Rattus norvegicus: one gene and its partners. The protein of the gene in region 2 purifies or fractionates together with the protein of the main gene of each other region. This does not show direct contact. Links are inferred from orthologs where the notes say so. Each region holds a gene or a part of one and is shown on either strand. Other genes may lie near its edges. The genes, in order: Hdac2, Morf4l2, Kdm5a, Ash1l, Phf12, Rbbp7 and Sin3b.

Region 1 (4,748 bases), on a different chromosome or scaffold from region 2:
ACATTTAATTCTGTTATAAATTATACATTAGATGGCATTGCATGATTGGTCCCAAGCTTCACTCCAAACAAGGCATAGTTCACATTTCTAGATGAAGTATTAAAACCATGAGCATTGCAATTAGAACCAAATGTGGCTCCATCTGCTAAATTACACTTAAATAGAGAAAAAAAACAAACAAAAAACCCCCCAAAAGCAAAAAACCTCGGTTTAAGGTCAGAAAGTATACTAGTGTGTACATAATTAGCTTCAGATCATTTGATGAAGCATTGATCTTTAATAAGAGATTAGCCAAAATTCAGAAATGTGTTTCTGGGAATTAGGATGAGCAGTCAATCAATAGTCGTAGTCTACTAAGAACTCTGATTTCTCTTCTGAGGATTAGGGATAGCTCACATGCCCCTATCCAAAAGTTCACAGAGCAGTGGCACAGAGATCTAACAGGTCCAGTACTGCAGACAGTAATGAAGACAGACATGTAGAGAATTATTTCTGTAGTCTAGCATGCTATCACATGTCACATGTTAATTAGCTTAAGACACCAATTTAAGTGTTCTTTTCCATTTTTTGTTAACTTTCTTTAATGCAAATATTTGGAATGAAAATACGTCCATCCTAAAAACAAGCAAGAACCAGACAGATTTTCACAGATAACCCAGCAGATTTCCACCATTAGTTGTACAGTTGGTTACTTACATCTAGGTAAAGCTGTTGCATGGGCGTAAGTTAAAAATCACATGACTGAAAAATACCTCCATCCACCCGTCTATCCCATCCCTCAGTAAAGGCTCATCCCCACACAGGAACCCGGGAAGAAGGCGCTGCTCAAGACACACTAGAGTACTGTCTGGTTCTCCATCAGACCCGGTCAAGGTTACATGGGATTTAAGAGTTCATAGCTGAGGAAAGAAGCTGACAGCAGAAGAGACTGAGCTGTTCCCCAACAGTTCATTATTTCCCTGACTCTACCCTCTAGCAGAGCAAACCTTTACTTTGGAAAGGCTGTAATTGTAATTTTTCAAGTTAATTCATACAGTGCATCCTTTCCAATGGATCAGAGAATGCAGGTCAGGGGTCTGCCATGAATCCCACTTCATAATGGTTAAGTCATGTCTAAGTTGTCATGCTTTCCCATCTCTGCTCTCCACGATAGTGTAACTTTTCAATGTAGTCCTCTCAAACTGCCAATTAAGCCAGTGGCACTCGCCTTTAATCCCAGGATTTGGGAGGCGGGGGCAGGTTGATCTCGGAGTTAGAGTCAGCCTAGTCTACATAGGACAGTTTCAGGACAGCCAGGTCAACTTATCGAGAGCCTATCTCAGAAAACAAAACAGCCATTTAAAAGCTGTTTCTATTTTGACCTAGCTTTCTGTCAGGTTTTTGATTTTCCAGCCAATGACAGGTGACTATTTCATTTAAAGCCTGTATTAAAAAAGATTCGACCAAACCAAGAAAACAAACGGTTATTTGCAGCTAAAGTCGGTTTCATTCGGCCTGCTTTTCTACACTGTAATCTACCTCTCCAAGACTTCAATGCACCAACTACAGAAAACGCTCCCAATTTCGTATTGCTTTGTAGAGATGAAGCGTTTCGAGTCCGTGAGGCTAGCTAGTTCTGTCCAATTTCCTTATTACTTCTCTCAATAGTTATCAATTAATGTTCTGGGTGAAATCTGTAAGGCAGGGCACTACTCCATCTAGTGTAATTGGACCCAGAGACTATGACTGCTTATATTCCAAATTAGGGAACACGTACAGTCACCTTGTACCGTCCACTGCACTCTGAGCTCAGCCCTACCTGTATGGAATATGTAGTCTACTTCTCAAAGTTTGCTGCAGCAGGGTCCCCACCACACTTGGACAGACTTCCTAACCAAGATGCCCATGCTCCTTCCTAAGCCCCAGAGCAGAGTATAACTGCGGATCGAACAAAGACCAACAAAGAAGTGGGTGGTAATAACCTCCCATAGAGACATGCCAAGACCCACCAAACAAGAGCAACTCCACGCTCCCTCTCTCCCATCACTTCCCCACAGGCCTACCTACTTCCAATTCAAAACCCTTTAATTGTCACGGAGGAAGTGCAGCCCTTCCATCCGAACCCTGAGAAAGTGGAGCTTGAAGAAACCCGACGAACAAAGGCGAGGGATGGAGTCCACGCAAAACACCAGCGAGACAGCGCCGCTCTGCGAACTTGGCCCCCGGCCAGCAGTAACTCCTCCGCAGCTCCACCCGGGCGCCGGGGTCCCGGGTGAGGCTGGAAGCGCAGCGCCGACAGATCGGGGGCGAGAAGGGGGGACCGGGCGAGCGGGGGAGGGGACAGGGACGCAGGGCGGAGCTCCAGGACGCCGGCTTTGTGCAGTCAGGCCCGGGGAGCCGACAGGGGTTCCTCCGAGACCGGTCCCAGGCAGTGCACCCCAAACATACGCGTGCCCGAGCGGAGGACCGGAGAGGAGCGAAGGCGGGCGTCCCCGAGTAGGCGGGCGAGCGCTGGGTAGGCCGTGTCGGTGTCCCCGCGGGCTGCCACCCTCGATACCCCGCCGCGTCCGACCCGCAGCCCCGCTGCAGGCTCCCCGGCCACTTACCGTCATAATAGTAGCACACTTTCTTCTTGCCGCCTCCTTGACTGTACGCCATGGGCTCCGGCCGCCGCCTCCTGGCTGCGGCTCCTCCTCCGGCTGCTCTCGCCCGCCGCGGCCCGGCGGCCAGACAAGAGGGCTGAGGGAGACGGCGGGCGCGGCGGCCCTCGCAGCAAGGACAGCCCGGAGCGGGACGGCGAGCGGGTGCCGGGAGGGCCCGAGATCGCAGAGCGGGGTTGGCAGCGGCGCCGACGCGCGACACTCGGCAGGGGTAGGCCTCCGGGCGGCGGGGCTGCGAGTTGGGAGGAACCACTGCGGCCGCGCGGAGGGGGAAACACAGCTACGGGCCGGAGGAGAGACCGGGCCGGAGTGGATGCCACCGGTCGAGGCTGCAGCAGTGCTCCGTATGTCTTATCACACACACAGTCCGGAGGTGCGCACAAGCCGACCTTGGCCCTGTGCTCAGAGTCCCGAACGCTCTGCCACCACGTCCCCCTCTCGGTCTGGCACGCACTGGTTGCACCGGGGCCGAGCCTGCGCACTCCGCGCCTGCTCAAACGGATCCCGGGCAGTCTAGACCCCTCCGCCAGGGCTCACGCCTCTCCCCTCCCCCACCGCCGCGACGCGCCTGCCCGAGCCCGCCACGTGCCGCGGGGACTCCGAGGGGAACCCGCTGGAGAGCTCCCCAGGGCTGCCCCCGGGCTGCCTGGTGGTCGGATATTCCCACGCGTTCTAATTCTCCTGTTCTCTCCTCCCTTCTGATAACTACTCTTGAGTTACAGAGAGGTTAATGGCTGAAGGTATCTCCTGGGTTTAATAAGCATTTCTTGGACTCAAGCATAAGCGCGGTTCCCAGCACCCAAACCTGTTTATAATAAACGCCATTTAAAGGTGTCAAAGGTGCCGGGATGCACGCGCCGTGCGCATCTCCTTATGGGTGCGGGTAAATGAAGGAGCCCTCAAGTGTGAGTCATCTGAGGACCGAACGGGTGTCAAACTTTTCCAGACTCCACGTGCTTTGTCTACTGTATCAGACTGTCAGACAATCCAAAAGGATGGATTTAAACATTGGAGTCCCTGTGTTTTAATAGCTTGACGTTTATTGAGCACCAGTCTAAACCAACCTTCTTAAACGTTACGCAAAGAAAGGATGGGAGCTGGCTGTCAAATCCAACACTCACATATCTTAACCGTTATTATTTACAATTCCGGCTACATGCGCACACCGCTTCCTTCCGTAAGAGGAGGGGTTGAAGTAAGAACCATACTGAGTCATTAACAAAAATAATTATTTTCTACCTTGTGACCCCCAGGACTCTCCATACTTAAAACACCAATCTTCTAGACATTACTCCAAGAGACTTAAAAATCACTCCAAGATACCCCTCACCACATCCACTTCTCTCCCAAGCCTGTACTTTTAACAAGACCCTGGGAGATTAACACGGTAGGTTCAGGGACTACAGTGTTCTCCCATGTCTGTTTCCCGTGCTTTTTAATACCAAGTGTCCTTTTAGTTCAGCATTTAACATGTTAACTGTTGGCCGTAACTCCTCAACTGGTCTCTCAGTAGGACACTTTCACAAGAGGATAAGTCGATTTTTTTTTCCCTGAACATAATCTAGTCTAGTGCCTGTGACTTCCAGCAAGCCATTTGAATTTTTTTTTTTGTTTAAGTGCTTTTCACCAATAAAATGAGAGGCTTTCTTATATGACTATTAAAACCTTCTTGGGGCTGGGGATTTAGCTCAACGGTAGAGTGCTTACCTAGGAAGCGCAAGGCCCTGGGTTCGGTCCCCAGCTCCGGAAAGAAAAAAAAAAAAACCTTCTTAAGAAAATCCACATGGAATAGTATTTAAACCATATGAGCAGATGCTATTGTGAGCTGTAATATCCATTTTGATAAAAGTGGTTATGGTCACTACTATTCCTTACATCACCAGAACCCGACTTAAAAATGTCAGGGAAGAGGCTGGACGGTTTGTTGCGGGACAACTTGTGATATGATATAACCATTATAAATGACCAGAACAAAGGATTTTATTCTTAGAAACCAGCATTAATGGAGGCTGATTGTGCTTTCTGTCACCTTTATGTCCTTAAGCATCTTTAATGAACTTGACCTAGAAGAGAATTAGTTATTATGTGCCTATGGACACAACGTTTACC
Region 2 (4,401 bases):
AATGTGGGAAAATTCCGACCCCCAGCCATTCTGAGGTAATTCTGGGCTATCAAATTATTTTATTGGTAAGGCTTAATAAATGCCTATCGTCATAATTTCTTCGAAGAAAGAGGATGATGTACAGAAAAAGATATGATATCAAGCAAATTTGCGTCATTTAAAATTTTTCTTCCTCAGAAATATCTATCTTTAGTAACAATTGTTCCTGTCTTTCGGAGACAGGCTTCACGTCGAATGCCTTACACGCACTATTTTACTAGGCACATCTGAATCCGCGACCGAGATAGCTACTATTATCACCATTTTACAAACATGGAAACCGAGACACAGAAAGGAGCCTTGCCCAAGTTGGGCGTTGGCGAGCAGGAATACGCATCCAGTTTTGCTTGAATGTGAAGGCACTAGTTAATCCTATCTACAAGTCAAGAAGGAAAGAGGAAATCATCGACCCTTCCTCCCCACCCCCACCCCGAAACCTGAAACGAGAATCCAGTTCTTTCCAGCAGCCGACGTGTGACCACCGCTGCTCCTCCAACCGCCATAGTAAAGCCAGGTTTCTCTGGCAACTGATATCCATAGGCAGACACGTCACCCTGGAGGCGGGCTTAGCCCTTCAGCCAATCCTAGCCATCTTGTCTAAGTTTTAGAATGTTCCATACCCAAATGATTGGACCACCGCCCCCACGTCAGCAGTGACACTCCGCCGCAGTAAAGGCGGGTGCTAGCAACCTGCTTCTTCATGGTTAGGGCCCAAATCAAACCAATGAGCGTCCTTCTTCAGTGCGGGCTCCGACCAATGACGGTCGCCCTTTTAGGTTCTTAGCCCGCCCTCCAAGTGCGCTACAGCCGTTGGGTCAGAAGTCTATAGGGCAGCGTGTTCACGTGGCCCGTTTTCACGACCCAGAGTTCCCCTGGCCGTGGGTTTTTTTTTTTTCCCCCACCTTCTTTCCCTCGCGCTCTCCTTCTCTCCTGCAGGGAGGCATTATGGGTTTGTGGGTCCGTTCCCCCTCCCCCGCCCCCGCACCACAGGGAAAGGAAGTGCCGACGTGGCCTGCGGAAATAGGATAGGCGGAAATGAGCTAAGGTTCCCGGGAGTGGGAAGAGCGAGGTCAAACCAGCGCCACGCCCCCGAGCCTGTTGCGCAACCCTCAGAACGGGAGAAAAAAAAAAAACCCAACCAAACCAAAAGGAAAAATGAAGGTTTTGAGGTGTATGCGTGTGAGGGTGGTGAGTGCCATCGGGCGGATGCCCGGATGCCTTGAGAACTGGGGTGTATGCGCGCGGGCACGCTCGCGTGGCTGTGGAGTGTGGGTGTGGGCGAACAGCCGCCCTCGTGGCGCCGGGGATGATGGGTGTGCGCAGGCGTGCAAGCTCTCGCGGTGGCGGGAGGGGCCCTGAGAGTGTGTGTAGGTGAGGTCCCTCATTTTGGTGCATTTCTGCCTTTTGATGTTTGCAAACTGCATTAATAAATAAGACCCAAGAAAGTACTAGTACAGAGGTAAAGGCCTTTTGTTAGAAAAGCCTGCTGATTTAATTTAATCCCCCCTTTTTATCTTTCTTTGCTCGCTCTTTCTTTTTTATTTTATTTTATTTTATTTTCTTTATTTATGAGGCCTGTTCTAGCTACGTAGGCTTGGCAGGCCTGGAACACAAGAGACCCACCTGTCTCTTCACGGCCTCCCGTGCGCTGGCATTGAAAGCATCGGCCACCCCACCCAGTCTGATTTAATTTTAGACCCTAAAGATGCTTATTATTCCCACAATTTAGTCCAACAAAATAAACTTCTTCCATGGTGAGCATTCAAAACTATATTAGTAACGTAAAAGGGCGTTTCTTTTAAGTTTCCAAGTGTACACCCCGCCCTCTCTGTCTCCAAGGCCTCACCTTTGCCCCTCACCAAGATTACTGAGAACCTCCCTTTTGCCCCCCACCAAGTTTATTGCTAAATTGGTAGAAATAATTCTAACGAAAACAAAGACAATTAAATTCCCCAGGGGTTGGGGATTTAGCTCAGTGGTAGAGCGCTTGCCTAGGAAGCGCAAGGCCCTGGGTTCGGTCCCCAGCTCCGGAAAAAAAAAAAAAAGAACCAAAAAAAAAAAAAATTCCCCAGTGATACAGACTATGCCAATTTCCCGTGGATGCTAAGCCTCACCTACCTTTTGTCCTAATCTCCAAGCGTAGCGATCCAATATACATTCGGTCAGTTTTCCAGAAAGTTCATTGGATGAGCATTATACCTCTTGAATCTGCCACTAGATGTCACCAAATCCCAGCAAAGGATTTACTGCTGGGTTCCCAGGGATTGTGAGATTTAATTTTTTGCTCCACCCACTTCTTACAGGATCCGTAATCTCTGGATGACTCATATATATATATATATATATATATATATATATATATATATAAAATTCTTAAGAATAAAATCAAGTTCTGTGAAGTAATAATACTAGGCAAGGAATTACATATCTGAATATTTTGGTTAATTTCCTTAAAGAGAAAAAGTCATCTGTTCTTCTTGCATTTCTTTCTCCCTTGCCTTTTGATTTTACTCAGGATTGATACATGGGCCTAAATTCTGATGCTAAAACCCTTTGTGAGCTGTATGAGCACTTGAGCAGAAGGAGGGCCCTAGATTAAAGGCCGCATAGATTATATATTGAGACCCTGTCTCTGCATAAATAAATCCATGAAAGAATATTCTTTTTGCTTTTTGCCCGCTTTTCAGTACTTAACAATTCCTCTAGTCAGTCTGTAAAGGTAACTCGGAGGTAAAGTTAGACCTCAGCATTGCGGATTATCTTCCTCTTCAAACTTATCAGGTATGGGTGTTTACACCCCAATTTTATGTGATGGTTCTGTGCCCTCCTAAGCAAGTAGGTAGAAGCTTAGTATACCAAAAATTCTATTTTATCATGGCGAGAGTCATCACACAACACTCTTGGTTCTTAACTACAGTTTTCCCAAGGGAGCTCACGTTTGTGACGCCCTTACCTGAAGATCAGGCCTAGTCTCCGATGCAGGAGCCCGAGGAGACTCTCTGGCTGCAGGGCAGCTCAAGGTGTGTCTCCAGGTGTGCAGCAAAAGACCGATGCGCTCGATCTTCCTGCTTATATACTCGCTGTGTAGCGGGCGTCATGGGATTCTTGTCCTGTGTCTGGTTATCTTAGTGACTGATGTCATTGGGGGCTGGTTATCAGGTACAGCCTTGGGTGTCCTGGACCTCCTCCTGACTAAGCTGTTTTTGTAAGACAAAGGGCATTTCTTTTTACTATTCTCATTACATTCCGAAAAACTCGGTTGTGTTTTTAGAGTCAGATAGGAAATAGTAAAACATTTCACTTAGGTTTCAGAGCGCATAATAACATAGCCCTGAGGTGTGTGTGGTTTTTTTTAATTTATGTACCTGTGTGGCCTGTGCATTTTGGGGCTAAAGTTCACCTTTCTTTACGTCTTTTCCTCTATTGCTGTTCGCCTTATTTTTTTACAGAAGGGTCTGAGTAAACTCGGAGTTACTCTATGTGCTATTCTGGCTTGTCACTGAACTCCCAGGATCTGCCTGTCTCTACCAACAGCCCCCCTTAAAACACTGGGGTTATAGATCAGTGCCCTGTGTTCAGCTTTTATATATATGCTGGGGAACTGAACTTAGGCCCTCCTGTTTGAGCAGCAGACATTTACCCCTCCCCGGACATCTCCCCAGTCAGACCATCGATTTTTTTTTTAATATTTTCTATATTTCAGATGTATTAAATTCCTTCCCATAGGTATTTCTTTTTCTTAACAGAATTGTACTACATTATAATCAGCCAAAAATAGGTTTCAGGCACTAATTATATGTATTTATCCACCCGAGGGTGAAGGTTTTTTAAAAGATTTTAATTTTACTGTTTTTAATTAGGTATTTCTACACATGTGTATGTGTTCAGAAGTCAGAGGCACTGGATCCTCCGGAGCTGGGATTACTGGCTGTTCTGAGACACCTGACATGGATGCTGGGAACCTAACTCGGGTCTTCTGGTAGAGCAGCAAGTGGTCTTAATGGCTGAGCCACGTCTTCAGCTGCAAAGGGGAAAGGTTTTTTAGAGCGGTTCTCCAAAAATCAGAAGCATCAGTAAAACTCGGTAAGTTATCAGAATATTAGATTCATAGGCCCTGCTTTATGTCTCACAAATCAAAGGTTTTCTGGATGGAGCTTGGCCATCCACTACAAATTGTTCTAGTAAATCCAATGCACTCTAAAATTGGAGAACCACTGCTTTGGAGGGCTACAATTCAACACTCGTTTTTGGACACCACTAGAGGGTGCCATAGAACGTGTAGCAAAATATTTTGCGATATACCCTGCATTGTATCTGTCTTGTTTTGCTGATTAAGAAATTGCACATTAAGTGTCACCATTA
Region 3 (3,974 bases), on a different chromosome or scaffold from region 2:
CTTCTCTGAAGAATCCTTTCCTTTCATTTTTAATGGTTTCTCTTCTACGCTATCATCCTTCAAAATATGAAATTAATCAAATTTTAATGCAAAACTTTAAAAAAGTGTTATTCTCTTATGTGAGGTACTTAGAACAAGAAAATTAGCAGACACAAAAAGGAGAATAGGAGGTGAGGGAGGGCAAATAATTATTTTTTAATGGTTCAGATTTCCTGTTTGGGATGATTAGAGTTGTGTAACAGGCACTGGTGGTACACATCTGTAATCCCAGCACTTGGGAAGCAGCTGCAATGGGGTGGCTTCAAGCTCAAGGGCAGTGGTCCATATAACGAGAGTGAGTGAGTTCTAGGAATGTACTGTGGTATTTGCATACAGTGTGAATGTACACAACAGAACTCAACTGTTTACTCAACAAAGATATGATAGCTCTTGTGCTGTAGCTACTGTACCAACATTTTAAATTTTTCTGAGATTTTATTTATTTTTTATGTATTTTTATGTGTATTAGTGTTTTGCCTGCATGTTTGTCTGTGTGAGACTGTCTAATCTCCTGGAAATGGAGTTACAGACAGTTGTAAGCTGTCATGTGGGTGCTGGGAATCGAATTTGGGTCCTCTGGAAGAGCAGGAAGCTCTTAACTGGTGAGCTGTCGCTCCAGCCCCAACATTCTTTACATGACAACATGTAACTCTGACAGACTTGCTGAGGATGTAGCTCAGATGGCAGAGTACTCAGAATACCCTGAGTTTGATCCCTAGCACACACAAAACCATATGCTGGGGGTGCTTTCGTGTAATCCCAGCACTTGGGAGGTAGACAAAGGAAAATCACAAGGTTAAGTTCATCCTTTGTTACTCAGAAAGTTTGAGGCTAAACTTGGCTTCCAAAGTCCCTGTCTCAAAGAAAAATAAATAAGAAACTGGTTAATCTCCAAGACTCCAAGACTCTGGAAGCAGGTGCAGGTGACTAAGAGTAGAAAATAATAACAACCCTAAATTCAGAAATGGATTGCTCATGCTTATAATCCTAGCATGATCAAAGGGGGATCATGGATGTAAAAACACTAATATAAAATGTTCGCCATTAATGCACATGTAGTATAGGACGGTAGAGTCTTCCAACTCATCCAGTTCTACTCAACCACCTCCTTGCCTTTTTTTTTCCTGCAAGCATGTTTGGAAGTGCATGTGTTGTATGTACACATGTATGTATAAGTTCCAGTGTGTGTAGAGGCCAATGTTAATGTAAGGTGTCTTCCTCAGTAACTCTCCACTTTATAAACTGAGGTACAGTCTCTTGTTGAACATGGAGCTCACGACTTTGGCTAGTGTAGCTAGCCAGTTTGCTCCAGAGATTCTGGCTTCTGGCTTCCACCCACTGGGGTTACAGGCAGACCACCAAGAGAATCCTCCCCCCCTTTTTTAATATTCGTGCCAAACTCTGGTCTTCATATTTGCACAGCAGGCAAATTCTCCAGCCCAACCTTTTAAAAATTTCAACATTTATCCAGTTATCTAAGGCAACTGTTATAAAACTGATTTTTTAAATTATGTGTGTACATGTGTGTTTCTGTGTGGGGTATACATGCACGTGAGTGGAGGGGCTTTTGAAGTAGAGGAGGGTTTCAGATCCCCTTGCGCTGAAGTTATGGGTGGATGTGAGCCACCCTTTGTGGGTGCTGGTAACTGACCCAGACCCGGAGCATCTGAGTAATCTTAACATCTCTCCAGCCCCTAAACTGCTTTATTGTTTTTGTTTATGTGTTTTTGAGAAAAGAGCTTGTGTGGTGGAGGCTAGCCTCAAGCAGCCAAGGATGGTTTTGAATGCCTGATCTTCTTACCTCTACTTCCCTTGTTTTAGGATTATAAGCCTGCACCATGATACTTGGCTAAACTGTTTTTTAATCTTTCCTTCTCTCTAGCAGAAATAAAAGAATTATTACATAAAATTTCAGTGAAGAAAACAAGTATTTTTGCTTAAATGAGAAAACATGACTGCCAAACTACTACCCACTTAGCCATCCCGTACCTCCATGATATGTAAGAATCTGTCCTCTGAGGGTGGATGTGTGGCCTGCAAAATCCGCCATATGTGTTGTGTCTCATCCAGAGACACTTCTAGGAGGTCTCCAACCATCATGAGTTCTTCCAACTGGGCTTTTGCTCCAGGAGACAATTCTAATACTGGAGGCTCCAAACTTCTGGGAACCAAAGGGCTCTTCCGAGGCTGCTTTCTTGGAGTGCTAGAACCTTTTCCCCAAGACATCAAGAAACAAAGCAAAGAAATGAAAATGGTATACACATATTATGAAAGTTAAATGTTTAGAAAAAAAATTGCCTCTCCTCTCTATAGTAAAGTCAGATAATTGGATACATTATTTTAATACAAAATAAGGTTTTTTTAAATTGTTACTAATGAATAATATAATGATCCATAACATTTCTAAAAGTTTATCGTAGAAAAAATAATCTTCATTTTCCAGAGTAGTGAAATCAAGTTTTATTTATTTTCTCTGGGTAGAAGAAAAGTGAACATCAGCGAGAAAGAATTCACCAAAAGAATTAAGTTCCTAACAATTAAGAATACCAAACAAGGGGTTGGGGATTTAGCTCAGTGGTAGAGCGCTTGCCTAGGAAGCGCAAGGCCCTGGGTTCGGTCCCCAGCTCCGAAAAAAAGAACCAAAAAAAAAAAAAAAAAAAAAAAAATCATAAGACAAAAACAACAACAAAAACCCAATACTGAAGTCTAACCAGGTACAGTGGCACACACTTGAAATCCTAGCACTGAGAAAGCTGATACAAGAGGATTACTGTAAGTTTGAAGCCAAGAGAGGCTACACAAAGAGAATTAGGCCTGCTAAAGCTAAAATGAGACACTGTCTTTACACACACACACCACACACGTGAGCATGCAAAAGAAAAAATCCCAACAAACCAATAAAAACCACAAGATAAAAGAATACCCAAATCCAGTATGGATATCAGTGAGTTCCTTGACAGCTGGTACTGATCAAGTAGAGGGTAAATCAAGGTCTGACAGAGATTTCATACAAATATGACACTTAATCATGTGACCTTAGAAAACATTCCTTCTTGGGACTCTATATTCTATTATCTTTTCAGGACATCAAAAATGATAGAAAATAAGTTTTGGCTTTTCCTAACTACAATAATGTTTTTTGTTTTTATTTTTTTCCCCAGAGCTGGGGACCGAACCCAGGGCCTTGCGCTCTACCACTGAGCTAAATCCTCAACCCCCCACAATAATGTTTTTAAGCTCTCTCACAAGGTGACAACCAGGTTTGTATTCAAGAGGGATTCATAATCTGGATTAATATGATGTCTTTTTCTGTTTCAACTTACTTTCTAACTATTAATTATTTTGTTTTTCTCAGGGTTTAGGACCAAACCTAGGCTTTTCACTTACTAGGCAAACACTACCACCCAACTCAATCTCCCACCCTTATGCTTTCTGTTTTGTTTGCTTTTTGTTTATTTTGTGTGTATGTTATGTGCATGTGAGTCCAGGTACATGTATGTCACAGCATGTAGAGATCAGACAATGTTTTGAGTCTTTGTTGAGGGACCTGTTGTTTCTCCTGTTGTGCTACCTACCACAGACTAACTGGCTGAGAATTCCCAGCCAAATCTGTCTCCACTCCCTACCTCTTGCACCAGCACCAGGACTACATACACATGTCACTGCATCTAACATCTTTATGAGGGTTCTGAAAATCAAACTTAGGTTGTTAGACTTATATGGTTGGTGTTGAACAATCTCCCAGGCCCACTTCTGTTTTTATGAAGACAGAGTCTCAGGTAGCCTAGGCTGGCCTCAAACTTGCTATCCGATAGTCAGCAATGAACTTGAACTCCTGGGGCTCCCCTGCCTATACCTCCAAGTGCTTGGATGACAAGCATGTACCACCTCGCCCAGATTGTACCTTTTCCAAGGGTAACTAATACCTTGAGAAC
Region 4 (3,974 bases), on a different chromosome or scaffold from region 2:
TGTGGCCCTGTAGTCATGCAGTAGGGTTTGAGGCCAGACCTTGTCTTAAAAAAAAAGTCGCTTGAGTGGCCTTGGGCTAGAAAGTAGCTCAGTACTTGTCTGGTGTGCACAAGGCCCTGGTTTGGGTCCTCAGCATACCTGAACAAGACGAGTGGAGGCCCGCATGCTGGCACTCACCTTCACTCTCAGCACATTTTGAGTTCTAAGTCAACCTGGTCTACAAAGTGAGATACTACCTCAAAATAAAAAAGTGGCTCTAAGCACAGCTTGTTTGACAAACAACTAGTTGTTGGCTATCTGGTACTGTGATCACTGTGGTGTTTACTGGAAAGGCTGGATTCAATTAAGACAGATTCTAGAAGAAATGGCTCATGTGGGTTATTGATGACAGACTTTTAGGGAGCTGTCCTTAGAAACAGGGTGCAGATGGTGCTGGAAGATTCTGCAGGGTAGAAAAGAGGCACAAACAGCAAGGTAGCCACTCCACAGTTAGGAAAAGTTGTTTCCATTTAATGCTAGACTTTCAAGGATTGAGATGCAAGCCTTTATGCAATTACATCCAATGTTAAAATTGGTAATACATAATTTACAAAGATTAACATCAAAACAATCATCTATTTAGATATGCTTTTCTGTAAAAAGGAAATATATTAGCAGCATTTATATTTTCCGCAATCACACAGCCTACAGACATGCAGACTAACTCTGTATCTATTTGCAGTGATGTAGTGCTTTGCCCCGCATTTCGAACACCAAAACCCACCTGGCAGCTGGGGGTTGTTTTTATTTTGTTATTATAAAATAACTGAAAAATAAAAAAGGCATTAATTTCTACACCAGTAAGAAAAACAAGTTTTTGCACTTACCTAACATTTGATTGTCTAAAAAACATTTCAGTTTTTAATCTTTCAACAAAAGAAAGATAAAAATGACAGCGTAGTGTCTTTTGCTTCTGTTCTTGCATTTTACAAAGTTTTTTCTTTCTTGTTTTAAAATTTTAGTGTTTAACACTATTCAAGGAAAACATTGAATTTAATCTCTTTCTTGTCATTTTCTTGCTTTTGACTAAAAGGAGACCCCCGAAAGTGCCCTTAGTCCTCCCTCCCTCCCACCCACTCCCTGCAATGAGAAACAAAAGAAACCACTCAAATGGGCTTGGACATGCGCTCCCCAGCGCCACACGTGAGCATCTTATACCCAGGTCTCGTGGTAATGTACAATGCTTCTCTACAGTAAGAAAATACTCCAAACTATTTTCTTAATTTCTCTTTTTTTCTTTAATAAAATATTTTGCTTTTTCTCTGCTCAAGGGGATCTATGCTATCCCCCTCTCTTTCTCTCTCTCTTTTCCCTTAAGAATAACACAGAAAGGAGAAAAAGAAAATCAATGGAATGAAAGGTGGTCAAATGTTTCTACCTAAATGAGTCAGAGCGTCGTCATCATAAGGGGAAGGAAATGTACAGTTAGGACATCATTGGTCCAGTATCGGAAAAGAGTAATGAAGATGTGTTTACTAATGTATTGCTTACCAATCTCACAGCACACACACACACACACACACACACACACACACACACACACACAAAACGCTTGTGCACATGTGCGTGTGCCCACACACACACATACTCACACGCACCCACACATATATACACAGACACACATATATATATACACACACACACACATATATATACACACACATACATAACTTGGCACATTTAAAAACCATCTTTTCTCTTATAAGAACATCTAAAATGTATATGCATATGTATGTCTGAGAAGACAAAGCAAAGCTTTTTGAATTTTACTTGTAAAGAGACAGTATGGTCTGGTAACTTCCGGCCAAGAGACTGGGAGGGACGGCAACCCTGGATATACCTCCTGATGATGAAGTCATTCAGAAAGGTGGAGGGGAAACGGGATGAGTGCAGGGATGGACACGGGAACTATACAGTTAAGAAAATAAGAATAGTGTTTTCAATCGGTAATCTACACTTAGAACAAACACTCTGATAGTGAACACTGCTCAACGGTTCTGTAGTGAGTTTTGTTAGGGGAGAAGTTTAAAAATGTTGTTCTTTTGTGAAGTGAATCGGTGCACAGCAGACACACAGGAAGAGAAGCAGCATGTGTGCTGGCGGGGGCTTGGCTTTCTCAGTAGGAAAAAATATGTTCGGCAGGTTATGAAGGGTAAACCAAAAATAATTACAAATACTGCCCTCCTGATCCCATGGGGCCTCTCCTCCCCCTGACTCTATCAACTCTCTCCTGGGAAAGAGAGTGGAGAGTGGCGGAAGTTCTAAGTGCTCTGAGCAGTTGATTCCTGTTCTAGTACTTTGACCTGGTTAGGCAAGAAGGAAGAAAGAACTTTCCTGTTGAAGGAACTGAAAAGAGGCCTCAGCTACTGTCTCTGTGTAGGTCTCTGATGCAGCTCTTAGAGCTGAGAGAATAAATGGGATAGGGCTGGGGTCTGGACCCTTCCCTTTGGATTTTGAATTTACACCTGGTCATAGGAAGCAGCTTCTTAGTGCTTGCAGGATCAGAGGGCAACCCAGAAAAACCCAAGCTGTGAGGAGTATCAAGTGCTGTAAAGTACCAATAGCTTCTGGCTATTCCAATGTGGTCCTCCTCTCCATATTAACCCTTAGGCAAAGCTACAAAGGAGTAAACTCAACCGTCTCAGACAAGCCTACTTCCACTCCCTTTTCACTAGCTCCAAGTCTAATAAGTACCTAATGTCAGACACGTGACCTCACATTCCTTGCCTGGACAGAACTTTTTTGCCCCAGTCCATGTCCAGAGAGCAAGAGACTGGACTCCACGGTGCCGCTGGATCCCAGATGCTCGAGGTTCTCATCCTTTTGAGAGTCACTTCCGAAAGCTGTTTTCTGGTATAAACAAAGTGCGCCTTCGTAGTTTCCTGCCTGACCCTTCCTCCAGCAGGTAGGTCACATCAATGGCTGAAATCAGAACCAACATGATACATCAGATGTTACTCTTCTGCTGCATTCTGGATTTGCACTCTAGAGAACTCAGGGACTCACGGTCAAAAGCATTAGGTCTGTTCCTAGCCCTAAGTTTTTGTTTTGAAGTTGTATCCTGGCCCCAACACAGAAAAGAAAATGGTTCTCTAGGGTTTGAAAGACACCATCTGATTTTAGCATCACTTTGAACACTCAACTGAGCAAGTTTATGAAAGAACGAAACCGTTTTCTTAGAACATGTTCCATGCTGGCATAGTGATTAATGACATTCTAAATCCAGACAAACTCGGTAGTACAATGTATTCTCTAGCATATCTCAGGTACTAGGTTTATTTTCCAGTATAATACACATGCACATGTTCACGCGCGCTCGCACACACACAGACACACACAGACACACACAGACACACAGACACACACAGACACACACAGACACACACACACACACACACACACACACACACACACAGAGTTGCTTTTTTACCTCTTTTTTTAATTTACTTTCCATTTATTTTCTAGCCTAGTCATAAGTCCGAGTCTTACCGTTTTTCCCAGGTATTTTCTCCAGGAGGTTGAGCAGGATCTGGTTGAGCCGTTCCCTCTGGCTGTGCCTTCGCTCCTCAGGCGTGCTGGCTAACTGGGGCTCTTGACTACTCTCCTCTGGCTTCTTTTCAGCGTCACTGACGTCCCCAGTGACTCTTTCCTGGTCTGGCTCCTCAGGGCTGGGCATTTCATTGGCTGCTTGCTCCTGACTAGCCAGCACCTCTTCAATCAAGGGCAAAGCATCATCATCTTGTCCGAGGTCTTTTAAGAGCGGCTTTGAACGTTCAGACTTCCAGGACGATCTGCCAAAAGGATGTGTGAATTCAGGGCAAGGCCATGCAAGGCACTTGAAGGGTGGGAAGGTGAAACTGAGAAGCCTAAGGATAGCCTGAGACCCTGGAGTCTGCTTATTAGAATCTGAACTGAACAAAATCTGAATATTAGCA
Region 5 (3,974 bases), on a different chromosome or scaffold from region 2:
AAATAGTAGATTGCAGCAGTTCTCAGTGCTCTGGAAACCCTGCGTGCCCGTATGTTATTGTTCCATCTGCCCTTCCTCACCACACGTTTTTAGCTCTAGGAGTTCCAGAGCCTGTGGGTTGAGAATCAAGAAGGGAACATCACCTTGGGTCCGAAATCCAGAACTGTCTCAACAATGGGGGATTGGACCGGTGGGTTTCCCTCAGGCGACGTAAGTAACAGTCTTCCTGCTCCGTCCCCAGATGGCAAGGTCAGCCCCGGCACGTTATCCATAGGAAGCGCTTTAACCGTACCCTCTTTCCCAGCCAACTCTACTGCCATGGTGGACCTCACCAACTCACTTCGAGCATTTATGGATGTCAGCGGAGGTGAGTAATGTCCCATTAGCATTCAACTTCTTTTAAAGAGGGATAGGAGATGGGGATAAATAAGTGTGTCCGTTTGGGTAGAAGAATGGGAAAGAAGGCACCTTCTCTTGTCTCTGCCTTCTGGGTTTATACAATACAATCAAAGACGAAGAGAAGGAGAGCACAGCCAAGCTGAGCCAGAGGGCGGGAAAGAGCAGAATCACATTAGGCAGATCCCCTGGCAGCAAAACAGAACCAGGTTGATTCCGTCTAGAAAACTCCAAAGTTAAAGAGAATAGAGATGGAGTTCTCTGCACAGAGAGTGGGTAGAAAAGGTCAGTCTGTATCAGACATCTAGATCTTCCTCACAGGCAACTGGGTATATTGGTCCTGTCTTTCTTTACTTAATATTAGCCTACCTTACTACAAGAAGCCACTGCTCTGGGCCCTTGTCACTGCAGAGGGCACGTGAGGTACCCATTTTCAAATCTTTGTTCCATTGTCTGAACATTGTCACTTGCTGGATTGGCCCTGTCACCCTTATCTGCTTCCACATTCCATTTCTCTCAGCTTTTTGATCTTTTTCTTTGGTTGATAGAAATCGAGATAAATATGTTGGACGAGAAGCTGATCAAGTTTCTGGCCTTGCAGAGAATACATCAGCTTTTCCCTTCCCGGGGTCAAGCTTCACCGGGCAGTGTTGGGACACATCCGCTGTCTTCTGGAGGGCACCACACAGAAGGTGCGCGTGCACATACCTGCCACCACACCATCAGCTCTCCTGTCTGATGTGTGTGAATGACCACCTTGCTCCACGGAGACTCTCTGCTTTCAGTAGCTCACACTCTTTGTACCTCTGGGTTTAATAAAGCATGGTGATTTCTTTTTTTTTCCTCAGCACAAACAAGATAAACAATTTTTGGTCAGACTTGGGGAGTTTGCCATAACTTTTTTTCACAGAAGTCCACTTTGATTCATAACAAAACAGCTACCAATACTTTGGGGTATATGTTGTATTCTTTCTGTTCAATTACTCCGTAATATTTGAACTAGGTTTTCCCAAGGTTTAAAGTGAGAAATAGAAAAATAGTAGGAAATTCTTCTCCAGGGTTAACTCTGTTACCTCTAAGCTCAGCTCAGCCCTTCAGAACCTTGTGCTTCAGAAACTTAAAGTACCATGCCAGCAACATCGGAGCTCAAGCCTTCACTAGAAACAGATTCTAGACTGCTCTGTCACCAAAGAGGCCTGAGTTCTATCCCTAGAGCCCACATAGCAAAAGCTAGGTATGGTGATGCTTGCTTACAATCCCTGAGGTGAGCGAGTAGAGGTAGACAGACTGGCCCCTTGGACTCACAGGCTGCCCAGCCTAAACCTCTTCTTGAATTCTAGGCCAGTGAGAGACCTTATCTCCCCCCAAAAATAGAATATGAGGAACAACACCAGAAGTTGTTTGTATATATGTGAACACAAATGTGTGTGAACTCTCACAAGTGTGTGTGAACTAGCATACAGGAAATTAAAATTCACAAATAGCCAACTAAATCTAGGTCAGGTTTCTGGTGGGAGTGGTGGTAGTTCTAGGAATCAAACCCATTGACTTAGTGAACAGGTACTGTAGAACTAAATTATAATTATGGACTCCATAGGCAGTGACGTGCTCATTAAAGCCTGAGAAACAGAGCTGTACCTTATGTTTTCCATGTTCTCTTTATTACCAGTTGGAATGTCCTTGTTAAGCTCACCAGGTACCCAGGAACTTAAAAGTACTCATGTCCTCATTCTGTAACCATCTTCAATGAAGATCCTTCCTAACCCGTATTGAAAATGCTATGGTTGTGGGAAAGCATTTCCCTGAAGCAGCTCTGGGGCAGGCATGAGTTTTGAGCATGAGCCACCCAGTAGGAGTTTTTTTTCAAGGCCACCAACCATAGATTCAGGATTTGTTGGTTTGTGTTTGGGTCACAGGTTCTGGGTTCTGAATGATCCTATCCCTGTGTTTGTCTTATAGTGCAAAGGAAGGAGGTACAAGCCCGAGCTGTGTTCTACCCCCTCTTAGGGTTGGGAGGAGCTGTGAACATGTGCTATCGAACCCTCTACATCGGGACAGGTGAGCCAGCCAGGAGTCTGGGAGGGGCACTGGATCTTCAGCCTAAAGATGGACACTTAAAGAAACCCTTTCAGAGGTTGATGGGTCTAACTAGTGAGTGTCTAGGCAAGGAGACTAAAAATCCAGACAATCCAATGGGGTACTTCCTTGGCTCAGGCCTTTTGCTTTAACTGCCTCTAGGCAGAGTCTGGAACACTATAAGGAGAAACTTGAAAAGAGGACACTTCCTTATTCTCAGGGTGTAATAGACTCACACATAACCCTCCTTTGTTAGTTTATTTTGGTCATCACGATGATTTAGGATAGGATCTCTGTAGTCCAGAGTGGTCTTGAACTCATGTCTGTCCTCTTGCCTCAGCCTCTCTAGTACTACAACTACTGGTATTGCCCACCACACCCCCAATCACCCCTTATCCTAGAAATTGCCCTTTTTTTTTTTTTTTTTTTCCGGAGCTGGGGACCGAACCCAGGGCTTGCGCTTCCTAGGCAAGCGCTCTGCCACTGAGCCAAATCCCCAACCCTAGAAATTGCCCTTTAAAGTGCCCTGGATTTACCATCCTTTTCAGTAACTTACTGCTCTGTCTGGGTAGCTGCCATGTATTCAATGCAAATTAAGTTTTAGAACAACAAAGGGAATTGATGAACTCAACAACATATATCTGTAATCCCAGTACTTCTGGAATGGATGCAGGGAGATCAAGAGTTCAAAGCTGCCCATTATTATAAAGGAAAGGAAAAAGAAAAGAGGTTCTGAGCTACCTTGAAGTTTCTACTAGCAACCACCCAGAAACTAACTCCCCTCTCTTTTACCTTCCCAACACATATACCTCACAAGTCTGTTCTCTCCCTTTCCCTTGACTCCTGCCACCTTGCAGGAGCTGACATGGATGTGTGCCTTACAAACTATGGTCACTGTAACTACGTGTCCGGGAAACATGCCTGCATATTCTACGATGAGGTGAGAGGCAGAGATGGGTGGGAGGGAGCTTTCCTAGCCTGAGGTCTTTCCCCAGCACTGGGTTCTGGCCACGGGCAGAGGCAGGTGTGAAAGGCTTGGCATTCCACCATGGCAGCCTGCTTTGGTGCAGGAGCAAGCTGTTGTTACAGCCGATGTTGCTCACAGAAACATTTGAGGGAGGCCACCTCAAAACAGGGAAGGGACCAGAGTAGAAGGAAGCCAAGCTCTGTATGTCCCTGCGTTTCATCATAATTGTGTGCCAGTGACTATCAGATCAATAGGAGCCAGTTCTGAGGAGCAGAGAGAGGGAATATGGAGTCACTAGGCTTTCAGAGGTGAGGTTTTGGTGGATTCTGAAAGAGGCGGGCTGTAACCAAGGAAGAGCATGACCTTGCTAGGCTCCCCAGGCTTCACACAGCAACTACACATCCTTATCTCCCTCCTCAGAATACCAAACATTATGAGCTGTTAAACTACAGTGAGCACGGGACAACGGTGGACAATGTGCTGTATTCATGTGACTTCTCTGAGAAGACCCCGCCAACCCCCCCAAGCAGTATTG
Region 6 (4,590 bases), about 69 Mb from region 2:
AGAAGGAGCATCACATCTCTTAGGACCTGAATTACAAAAGGTGAGACGCCAGGTGGGAACTGGGAATCAAAAACCCAGGCACACTATAAGATCAGCCAGTGCTCTTAACCACTTAACTTTTCTCTTGCCCTTTGGATTTTTTTTCTGGGAAACATGGTCTTACTAGGTGGTGGTTGGGTACATCTTTAATACTAGCACTTGCGAGCAGGTGGGTCTTTTTGAGTTAGTTCCAGGGCAGCCAGGGCTACACAGAGAAACCCTGTCTAAAAAAAATTTAAAAAAAAAGAGAAAAGAAACATGGTAATTAATAAAACTCAGGCAAGCCTGTAACTTAGGATACAGCCGTGTGCCACGGCACCCAGCTCAATATATTTTTTGTACTGTTTACTTATTTATTCATTGTGTGTGGATATGTATATTTACAACAGTGTACATGTGTAGATCAGAAGAGTTCTTAATACCATGTGGGTTCTGGAGACTGAACTCAAATTCTTAGACTTGAAGACAAGTGCCTTTACCATGCTGGGCCACCTTGCCAACCCTCAGTCTATTTTAGAATTTGCTCAAAAAACAGCTTAGCCACAGAGCACATGCCTACCATGCTGAGGCCCTGGGTTTGAACCAGTGCTGAAAAAATAAAATCAATGCCTATAAGCCCCCACTATTTAGCCATTTAAGACTTCTCACTGTACACTTAGATTTTTAAAGAGGCATTTTAATGTAAAAAAAAACCTGCAAATAAAAAACATAAGATTTTTTGAGACAACAGAAAGTCTGTATCTGGGAAGTCAATGTTCATATATGGAATTTAGTCCTTAGAAGTTACTTTGCTTAAAACTGGCTTCCTTTTATCACTGGTCACAAAATCTCCCCTGTATATTAGTTTTATTTAACCCTAATTATAGGCTCACAATACAAAAATTCAATATACTTTTAAGGTATGTGCCCATATTCCTATAGAAAAGGTACATGCCTAGATGATAAAGGTAGTCTAATGAAGGAGGTGCCTTGACTTCTGGAGTCAACCGGTTTGGGTTGGTTGAGCCCTAGTTGGTAAGCTATGAGATCACCAGTAGTGTGTGCTGAAGCATTGCTTAAAATTCTCAGCCCTTCTCCTCACTGCTAAATTTGTGAACCGCAATTGTAGTTCTGAGGCTTAAACTCTTCACATGTTAGTTCCTATTATTCTAAGTGCTTAAACCAAATTTATATGCCAAATGTTACAAATATTCAAGAAAAATCACTTAACAAAAATCGCAACCTGAATTATAAACTGAAACCAAACGACTCTTTTCTTTGACTATTGCCAAATTCTTTTTCCTTTTGCTAGTAATTAAATATATGTTTAAGTGTATTCACATTGTATTCAGTTACCAAAAATGCATCAAGCTGTAATAGCTTTTGTTATATATGTAATCTTTCCTCTTAAGTTTGAAAATAATGTTTTGATCTGGAGTCGAGATGCTGGTCTAATAGAGTTCACGGAATGGCAAAATATTCAGTATTTTCTATACACACCATTGGTATCACAATAATATTCTCTCCTCTCAACACACCTCTATGCTTGAAACGATCTTAAGTTTTGAACATAACCACTTGCCGCCTCACCCTCGGCCTAACCAATTACACATTTACATTCTGTGTGTAAAATACCATTATCAGTAATACCTAGCAATTTAAAACGGTACTTAAATCTACACAAAATAAAAGTTGCCAGAAACCCTTACTTAGTCACTTCAGGAAGCCACTGAACGGTAAGACTGGGCCACTGAAGAGCATGGGTCATAACCAGGTCATACAGAAACGGTGTATTCTTCTTCCAGATTTTATATTCTTCGTTGATGACACGCTCCTCCACAGTATCTTCAAACACTGAAATTTGGAGAAAGCCCACAATTAAGTGGCTGAGAAGGGTCGGAGTCAAAGCATGGAAACGGATACTGGAGGTCACCTCGAAAGGGCCACACCTTATCTATTCTTTCCTTTTACCTTTTATGCGCACACAAACCGCTCTCCCAGAAAGTGAGGAGACTAACATCAGGAAGCATTTTCACCTCCACTTTCAAGATCAGTATCTCCTGCGCTTACCGAATTGGGTCATTAATTGCACTAACGTCGAGATTTTCAGCCTTTTTATAGCTGTTCGCACCTGTCTAAGATGACCTGCATTGTAAACGGGCGCCACGACCCACACAAATAGATAAAATCCACGTGTAGCAGCAGCCCATAGGCCTGCTTCCTCCACCCCCCCCCGCCTCAGAGGAGGCCCCAGCTCCCACCACGCCAACATCGGCAGCCATAGTCCGGCGGGCTCCAGATCCTCCCCACCCCCCCTCCCAACACGGACGAAGGCCGCGACCCCGAGACGGACTAAGAACAGGCGTAAGAAGAATCCGCTGCGTTTACTTCTCCACCGCGACCGCCTGCGCCCCCAGTCAAGGGCGTCGGAGGGAGCTAGGCCGCAGAAGGGGGGAGGCGGGTGGGGGAGGGGGCCTACCCCTCGGCCCCGAGCCCGGCTCCGGAAGTGCTCTCAGCCCTCGGCGAGCAGGCCCTGTCCCGCGCAGGCCCCCTCCAGGCGCGCGGCTAGCCTCGCGCCCAGCCCCGCCCCCTGCTCCTCACGCCAATTCGCGCCTTTCGTCGGCGCGTGCCGCGGCCTCGCGCGCCCGCCGCCCCCCGTAGCCCCGGCGCGCGCCCGCCGCCCCCCGTAGCCCCGGCGCGCGCCGCCCCGCAGGGCCTCCTTACTCTCTTTACTCGCCATCTTGCGTCGGGTCGTTCGCCCCCCTTTGCCGCCTCGGACTTCTCTCGCTAGTCAAGAGCAGCCCGATCGCAGGCGCTCCTGCCTCTCCCAGGCACGTCACGCACTCCTAGCTCGGAAAGCCTGAGCTCGGTCTGGCTGTCTGGGTGCTCCCCAGACGCCGCGATCTTCTCTTCTGCCTCCTCCCCGCTTGCGGGTAGCGAGGTCTGAGACGCTCTCCTCTCTCTCCCTCTCTCCAAACTTGGAACGAGACTTTTCAACCCGCGCCTCTCAGCCCGCCCAGGCAGCTGAGCGCAGGCGCATCCGCCCTGGGAAACTGGAGAGGCGGTGAAGAGGCGGGTCTGGGAGCCAACGGCTCGGATACCTCGACCAATAGCGTGCAACGGGTGGGTCTTTCGCGATCTTCGGAGGCGGGCTTCTTAGGAGTGGGTGGGGCGTTCCGCGGCAGGAAGTTCGTGGGGCGCAGGCGCAAGGCGTCACTCGGCGCTCCCCAGGCTGGCCGCGGGGGCGGATGGGCCCGCGCGGGGGTGGGGCGGATGAGAGCGCGGTGTGCAGGCTGCGCGGGGGCTGCGAGCCCCAGGGCCAAGAAGCCTGGGGCCCGCGGGGCGTGGTTGCTTAAAGCAGCAGCAACGGCAGGGGGTGCGAGGGGGGCAGGGAAGCTGCAGCCGCCTTAGCAAAGCAAAATCTCAGAGCCAGCAAGGAAAATGGTTTCCTGTTCTCGAGAGATTACGGTGCCCTCAAAGTCTCCCAGATAATCACGGGCACGCAGTTTTCTGCACCCCCTCCAAGGCTCCCACCCAACCGTTTTGAGGGCCCAGTCGAGCCGTACTGACATTTGTCATGAGCGAAAGGGACCTTTAGGAGAGACCTTGGCGTTTTTTTCTGCCAGAAGCTGGGCAGGCCTCCTTTATTTAAGGCCTGCAATGGCCCAGGCCTTCAGTCCGCCCAAGGCCTAAAGTTGACTTAAATTACTTTTTTGTTTATTCACTTATTTGCGTCCTTAACGTACTGGTTTGTTAGCTTCCTGCTGCAGCAGGGGATTTTGTGCCTACCAGTGCTTCCCTATCTCAGTTCCTGCCTAGGCCCCTGCTGAGTCATTCTTGTCACCTGAAGGGGTCCCATTTTGACCCGGCAGCTGGCTGATGAACTGGAGAGAGCTGGGCTGGGCTAATCTAGGCCAGCATTACCTGAGCTCTGCTTTTCTCTGAAGCTTTTAGCCTGGAGAAAGAGTGGGGGTGGGGGAGGAGGTTGAAGAAAAAGAGCCACATGATCCCAGGGAGAAAATGAGGGCCAGAGCAGAGGGGCCTAAGCGCCGATGCTTAAAGGGAACCACAGTCTGCATCTAAACTCAGAGGCTCTCCTTGCAAAAACACCCCCGGAACATTTGTTCCCTTGATAGCTTTCCAAGTGCCTTCATGCTTAAACGCAGCCATGCAGAGGCCGCGATGATGCCCTCTTTTCTGATCGGGAAACAAACTCAGACGTTACTCTAGTATGTGACAGAAACAGTCATGTTCCCTTATATAGAAATTTACTGTCTTGGGTCTCTTGTTTTCCCATGTGGTACAATTCATTACTATAACGCCCTTCCATGTCAGCTCCAAGAATCTTGCTGGTGACTAACGCTGAAGGGGTGGCTGGAGGCGGGAGGGGGGCGGTTAGAAGGGTGTTACAGCATGGGTCCTCTGTGTTCTAGAACACTGGTGGTCAAACTTTTTTTTTTTTTGAAAGGCGCCAGGCAGCCCTCCGTATTGTAGCGCAGCAGCCATAGAAAATATGGATAAACCTGGCCATCTTCCAGTAAAACTATAGTCACTGAAATTTGAACTTCATGT
Region 7 (3,974 bases), on a different chromosome or scaffold from region 2:
AGTGACCCTGTCCACTGTGTGTGGGCAGTGCCCTTGACTTCCCATGGCTCAGATTATGACTTGGTTTTATGGCAGTAGACGTCTTACCTGTGGTCACAAGCTGTCGACGTGGACGTTTGGGGACTGGTGATGCATAGTTCCATCTTTTTGCAGGATGCTGGCCGGCTTCCTGGCACCCCTCCTGATGTAAGAGGGCGCAGCTGGGTGTGTGCTGTGTTGAACTGCACATTCCTATTAATGATATTGTCTTTCCCTGTTTTTCTCCGTTTTGCATGTATGTGTACTATGTTGCACATATTTCCCGTGACCCTCCTGTAGTTGACAGTCTGCTGACTTGTGTGTCACATGTGCCTTCCCTGCACACATGGGATACAAACAGTAGGTACTACATAAAAAAATTAGCAGAAAAAAAAATTAGCAGAAAAAAAATTAGCAGAAACCAAGGTGGCATTGGATGTCAGTTGCTGTAAAGTGTCCCATTAACACGCATCCTGTTTCCATCCCTACTTCTGAGAATGAACCACAAGGGCCTTTGTGGGGAGAGGTCGAACTCATGAAGGAGGGAAAATTCACCTGGGAAGACAGCCCTGGTGGACACAGCTGTTCTCCGTTCTGTCCTCTAGAGCAGCCATGGACAGAAACAAGAAAGTGAGGCAGAGCTGGGTGCCAACAAAGCTTTGCAGAAACAGTCTGTGGCTGCAGTGTGTGCCACCTGGCCTGGGTCAAGGGCAATGGCCCATCTTTGACTTCTGAGTTTGGAGTTCAGTTTCATCCTCCTTAGGCTATAGCAGCCATTGGAGTCACCAGAAAACAGTAGAAGGGAGACTGACCCGGCCCACCCCAGGACTCCAGCATCCTCGGGGAACTTTGTGATGCCTGCGACCTTCTGAGGAATAGGGAGGAGCAGGGGTGCTCTGCCCAGGCTTGGGTACAGCCAGTGACCAGAAGGGGCTAATGTCCAGGGCTTGGGGGGTGTGGGCTCAGGGGTCAAGGCTGGTGTCTGTCTGTGTTTTGAATAACTTAAAGGAGGTCATGTCTAGCCTAGAACTCGGTTCAATTCCAGACTGTGGCTTGGGCACAGATTGGCTGTAAACACAGATTGGGCACATGGGCTGGCTGGTCACAGGGCCCATGGGACACTTGAGTGGTTTTTTTTGTTTGTTTGTTTGTTTGTTTTGAGATAGGGTCTCATATCCTGGCTGTGCTGGAACATGCTCTGTAGACCAGGCTAGCCTAAAACTTAACAAGATCTACCCAGATCTGCCTCTCGAGTTATGGGATGGAAGACATGTGCTGCTCTACTCGTTTTCTTCTTTTCTTCTTTTAGTTGATTAATTAATTTTTATTTCATGTGCATTGGTGTTTTGCCTGCATGTATGTCTGAGTTTGTCAGATTCCCTGGAATTGGAGTTATAGACAGTTGTACGCTGCCATGTGGGTGCTGGGAATTGAACCCTGGTCCTCTGGAAGAGCAACCAGTGCTCTTAACCATCGAGCCATCTCTCTAGCTCCCTCTTACTTTTTTTAAGTTAAGGGACAGAAAATCCAGGCAGTGAGACTCACAGAGGTTATTCCCAGTGTGCTTTGTGGCTGTGGCCTAGTGCAGCTGGCAAAGGTCTATAGCTATAGGACCATGATTGGTGTTGGTAGGAGAGAACCCTCCTCCCTTTCCTAACACTGAGTTCTGACTCAGGCCATCCTTGAAGTTCCCTATCTTCAAGGCTGTTGTTATGACTCTAGAACATTTTCAAATGGTCCAGTGTCCACTTAAAGTTTTCTGTCTGTCTTTGAAGGAAATTTCCAGAACTCTTCGCACAGTTCAAGTCCTTCCTGGGAGTGAAAGAGCTGTCCTTTGCACCACCTATGAGTGACCGGTCTGGAGACGGCATAAGCAGAGAAATTGATTATGCATCTTGTAAGCGAATAGGATCCAGCTACCGGGCACTTCCCAAGACCTACCAGCAGCCCAAGTGCAGCGGAAGGACTGCCATCTGCAAGGAGGTAGCACCTTGGGGTACAGGTCAGCCCTTTATGGCACACAGCCATGGGCCAGGGTCCAGACCCCTGATGACATTTGATACTGGGGCATGTCAGCAGAGGCCACCTGAACTTCATGTCCTGTTGGATGGTAGTGCTTACAGCTCACACTGGCGTGGGGACTTGGTCATCTTTATCACTGTTCATTTCTGCCCTGTCCCCAAGTGTACTTAGTGACATCTTGTCCTCTGGTCCAGGTCCTGAATGATACATGGGTCTCCTTCCCATCCTGGTCTGAAGACTCCACCTTTGTCAGCTCCAAGAAGACGCCCTATGAGGAGCAGCTGCATCGCTGTGAGGATGAGCGATTTGAAGTAGGTGAAACACCTCTGGCTGCCTGAGCTGCTGTCCTCCGAGCCCAGCACCTTCCTTGTATAGCCTAGTCCTGTAGTCTCTTCTCCCTGTCACAAAAGTGTGCCAGCGCTGTGATCAGCCCCTGGCTGCCAGCTCTGCCAGCTCTTGAGCTGCAGCACAGCGTTAACCCCTTCCTTTCAGCTGAAGACAGTGGGTAGTTAACTGAAACTAAGGTAGCGTTATTTTTAATTTTTACTTTTTGATTGTTCAAGACAGGGTTTCTCTGTGTGGTTCTCATTGTCCTGGAACTCACTCTGTAGACCAGGCTGGCTTCAAACTCAGAGACTGATGCCTCTGCCTCCCAAGTGCTGGGATTAAAGGTGTGCACCACCACTGCCAGGCTAAGTTAGCATCATTTCTTACTGAAGTTGTAATTGAGTTCTTCAGACCCAACCAAGTGCCCCTCCTGGGGACAGACAATGAAGCACCTTCATTTCATCCTGATTTCCCTTTTACAAGCTTATACCTGCATGTCTTTTTGTTTTGTTTTGTTTTCTTTTTTAGATTTACTTTTATTTTATGTATGTGGGTGTTTGCCTGTGTGTCGGTCTGATGCCCACAGAGGCCAGTAAAGGACATTGGATCCCTTGGAACTGGAGTTAGGAACAGTTGTGAGCCACCATGTGGGTGCTGGGAATTACATTGCAGTCGTCTGGAAGGACGGCCATAGCTCTTACCCTGAGCCAGCTCCGCAGCCTTGCCTTTCAGTCTGAAATGTCTCTCTTTGCAGCCCCGGTTGGTGTGAAACTTGTGATCCTCCTTCCAAGTGCTAGGATGGCTGACCGTGTGTGCCCTCCACCCATTTCCTCTGTGTGTGTGTGCTTCCAGCTTCTGCTGTGACAAGTCCCATGGACAAGACAGTTTCTATGAACTAGAGTCCAGCAGCTGCTGGGAAGTGTAATTCAAATGTGCCATACTTGGCAAAGCCTGCTTATGGTATCCCATGGTGGTTGGGACATAGAGGAGGCCAGTCGTGGCTTATAACCCCGTTCCTAAACATTCCCACCCACCCGACAGTCTGAGGCTGGCGCACCAGGTCCTGTGTTCTGTTTGAGGCAAAGTTTTCTTAGAACACAATCTTCCTGCTCCCATTAATACTGACACACCCACTCCTAAACTTCAATGTGGCAGGTGATCAGACTGTAGGGGAGAGAGAGATAGGGGGAGGGGGAGAGAGGGAGGGAAAGGAGGGGGAGGGAGAGAGAGTGAGCCTATGTGACTGTTACCCGCCCCACCTCCATGATGATATGTGCCACGGCTGTCACTGGAATGCTGCCCTCCCACATAGGTGTGCTCTGGTAGACAGACACCCACACTTACTGGCTCCATTGACAGCTTCTAACCACCCACCAGTCCCCAGTTCTGACCATGCCTGCCTCCTCTTTGCAGTTGGACGTTGTCCTCGAGACCAACCTGGCCACCATCCGAGTGCTGGAGAGTGTGCAGAAGAAGTTGTCGAGGATGGCTCCTGAGGACCAGGAGAAGCTCCGCCTGGATGACTGCCTGGGCGGCACCTCGGAGGTGATTCAGCGCCGTGCCATACACCGCATCTACGGAGACAAGGCCCCGGAGGTCATTGAGAG

What was found.
Region 1: the proteins of Morf4l2 (region 2) and Hdac2 purify together in Homo sapiens (affinity purification with mass spectrometry; 4 studies listed by BioGRID, with this or other methods). This does not show direct contact. The link is inferred for Rattus norvegicus from reciprocal best matches to the Homo sapiens genes MORF4L2 and HDAC2.
Region 3: the proteins of Morf4l2 (region 2) and Kdm5a purify together in Homo sapiens (affinity purification with mass spectrometry; 4 studies listed by BioGRID and IntAct, with this or other methods). This does not show direct contact. The link is inferred for Rattus norvegicus from reciprocal best matches to the Homo sapiens genes MORF4L2 and KDM5A.
Region 4: the proteins of Morf4l2 (region 2) and Ash1l purify together in Homo sapiens (affinity purification with mass spectrometry; 5 studies listed by BioGRID and IntAct, counting the BioPlex papers as one, with this or other methods). This does not show direct contact. The link is inferred for Rattus norvegicus from reciprocal best matches to the Homo sapiens genes MORF4L2 and ASH1L.
Region 5: the proteins of Morf4l2 (region 2) and Phf12 purify together in Homo sapiens (affinity purification with mass spectrometry; 9 studies listed by BioGRID and IntAct, counting the BioPlex papers as one, with this or other methods). This does not show direct contact. The link is inferred for Rattus norvegicus from reciprocal best matches to the Homo sapiens genes MORF4L2 and PHF12.
Region 6: the proteins of Morf4l2 (region 2) and Rbbp7 purify together in Homo sapiens (affinity purification with mass spectrometry, with the first as the bait; 3 studies listed by BioGRID). This does not show direct contact. The link is inferred for Rattus norvegicus from reciprocal best matches to the Homo sapiens genes MORF4L2 and RBBP7.
Region 7: the proteins of Morf4l2 (region 2) and Sin3b purify together in Homo sapiens (affinity purification with mass spectrometry; 5 studies listed by BioGRID and IntAct, with this or other methods). This does not show direct contact. The link is inferred for Rattus norvegicus from reciprocal best matches to the Homo sapiens genes MORF4L2 and SIN3B.

What each region holds. Positions count from the first base shown.
Region 1 is NC_086038.1:42,101,222-42,105,969, reverse strand, and holds the start of Hdac2 (histone deacetylase 2), read right to left. Parts: upstream 2,844-4,748; 5' UTR 2,638-2,843; coding exon 2,586-2,637; intron 1-2,585. UniProt on the Homo sapiens protein: Histone deacetylase that catalyzes the deacetylation of lysine residues on the N-terminal part of the core histones (H2A, H2B, H3 and H4).
Region 2 is NC_086039.1:104,882,885-104,887,285, forward strand, and holds the start of Morf4l2 (mortality factor 4-like protein 2), read right to left. Parts: upstream 3,063-4,401; 5' UTR 2,993-3,062; intron 2,318-2,992; exon of another isoform or gene 2,158-2,317; intron 1,228-2,157; exon of another isoform or gene 775-1,227; intron 665-774; exon of another isoform or gene 477-664; intron 1-476. UniProt on the Homo sapiens protein: Component of the NuA4 histone acetyltransferase complex which is involved in transcriptional activation of select genes principally by acetylation of nucleosomal histone H4 and H2A.
Region 3 is NC_086022.1:155,300,249-155,304,222, reverse strand, and holds part of Kdm5a (lysine-specific demethylase 5A), read right to left. Parts: coding exon 3,966-3,974; intron 2,250-3,965; coding exon 2,029-2,249; intron 58-2,028; coding exon 1-57. UniProt on the Homo sapiens protein: Histone demethylase that specifically demethylates 'Lys-4' of histone H3, thereby playing a central role in histone code. Does not demethylate histone H3 'Lys-9', H3 'Lys-27', H3 'Lys-36', H3 'Lys-79' or H4 'Lys-20'.
Region 4 is NC_086020.1:176,777,364-176,781,337, reverse strand, and holds the end of Ash1l (histone-lysine N-methyltransferase ASH1L), read right to left. Parts: intron 3,831-3,974; coding exon 3,529-3,830; intron 2,962-3,528; coding exon 2,870-2,961; 3' UTR 491-2,869; downstream 1-490. UniProt on the Homo sapiens protein: Histone methyltransferase specifically trimethylating 'Lys-36' of histone H3 forming H3K36me3. Also monomethylates 'Lys-9' of histone H3 (H3K9me1) in vitro. The physiological significance of the H3K9me1 activity is unclear.
Region 5 is NC_086028.1:63,411,522-63,415,495, forward strand, and holds part of Phf12 (PHD finger protein 12), read left to right. Parts: intron 1-93; coding exon of another isoform or gene 94-122; exon of another isoform or gene 123-241; coding exon 242-367; intron 368-760; coding exon of another isoform or gene 761-819; intron 820-944; coding exon 945-1,088; intron 1,089-2,355; coding exon 2,356-2,454; intron 2,455-3,329; coding exon 3,330-3,412; intron 3,413-3,859; coding exon 3,860-3,974.
Region 6 is NC_086039.1:35,559,999-35,564,588, forward strand, and holds the start of Rbbp7 (histone-binding protein RBBP7), read right to left. Parts: upstream 3,033-4,590; 5' UTR 2,759-3,032; coding exon 2,743-2,758; intron 1,873-2,742; coding exon 1,728-1,872; intron 1-1,727. UniProt on the Homo sapiens protein: Core histone-binding subunit that may target chromatin remodeling factors, histone acetyltransferases and histone deacetylases to their histone substrates in a manner that is regulated by nucleosomal DNA.
Region 7 is NC_086034.1:17,169,926-17,173,899, reverse strand, and holds part of Sin3b (paired amphipathic helix protein Sin3b), read left to right. Parts: intron 1-1,793; coding exon 1,794-2,001; intron 2,002-2,234; coding exon 2,235-2,351; intron 2,352-3,780; coding exon 3,781-3,974.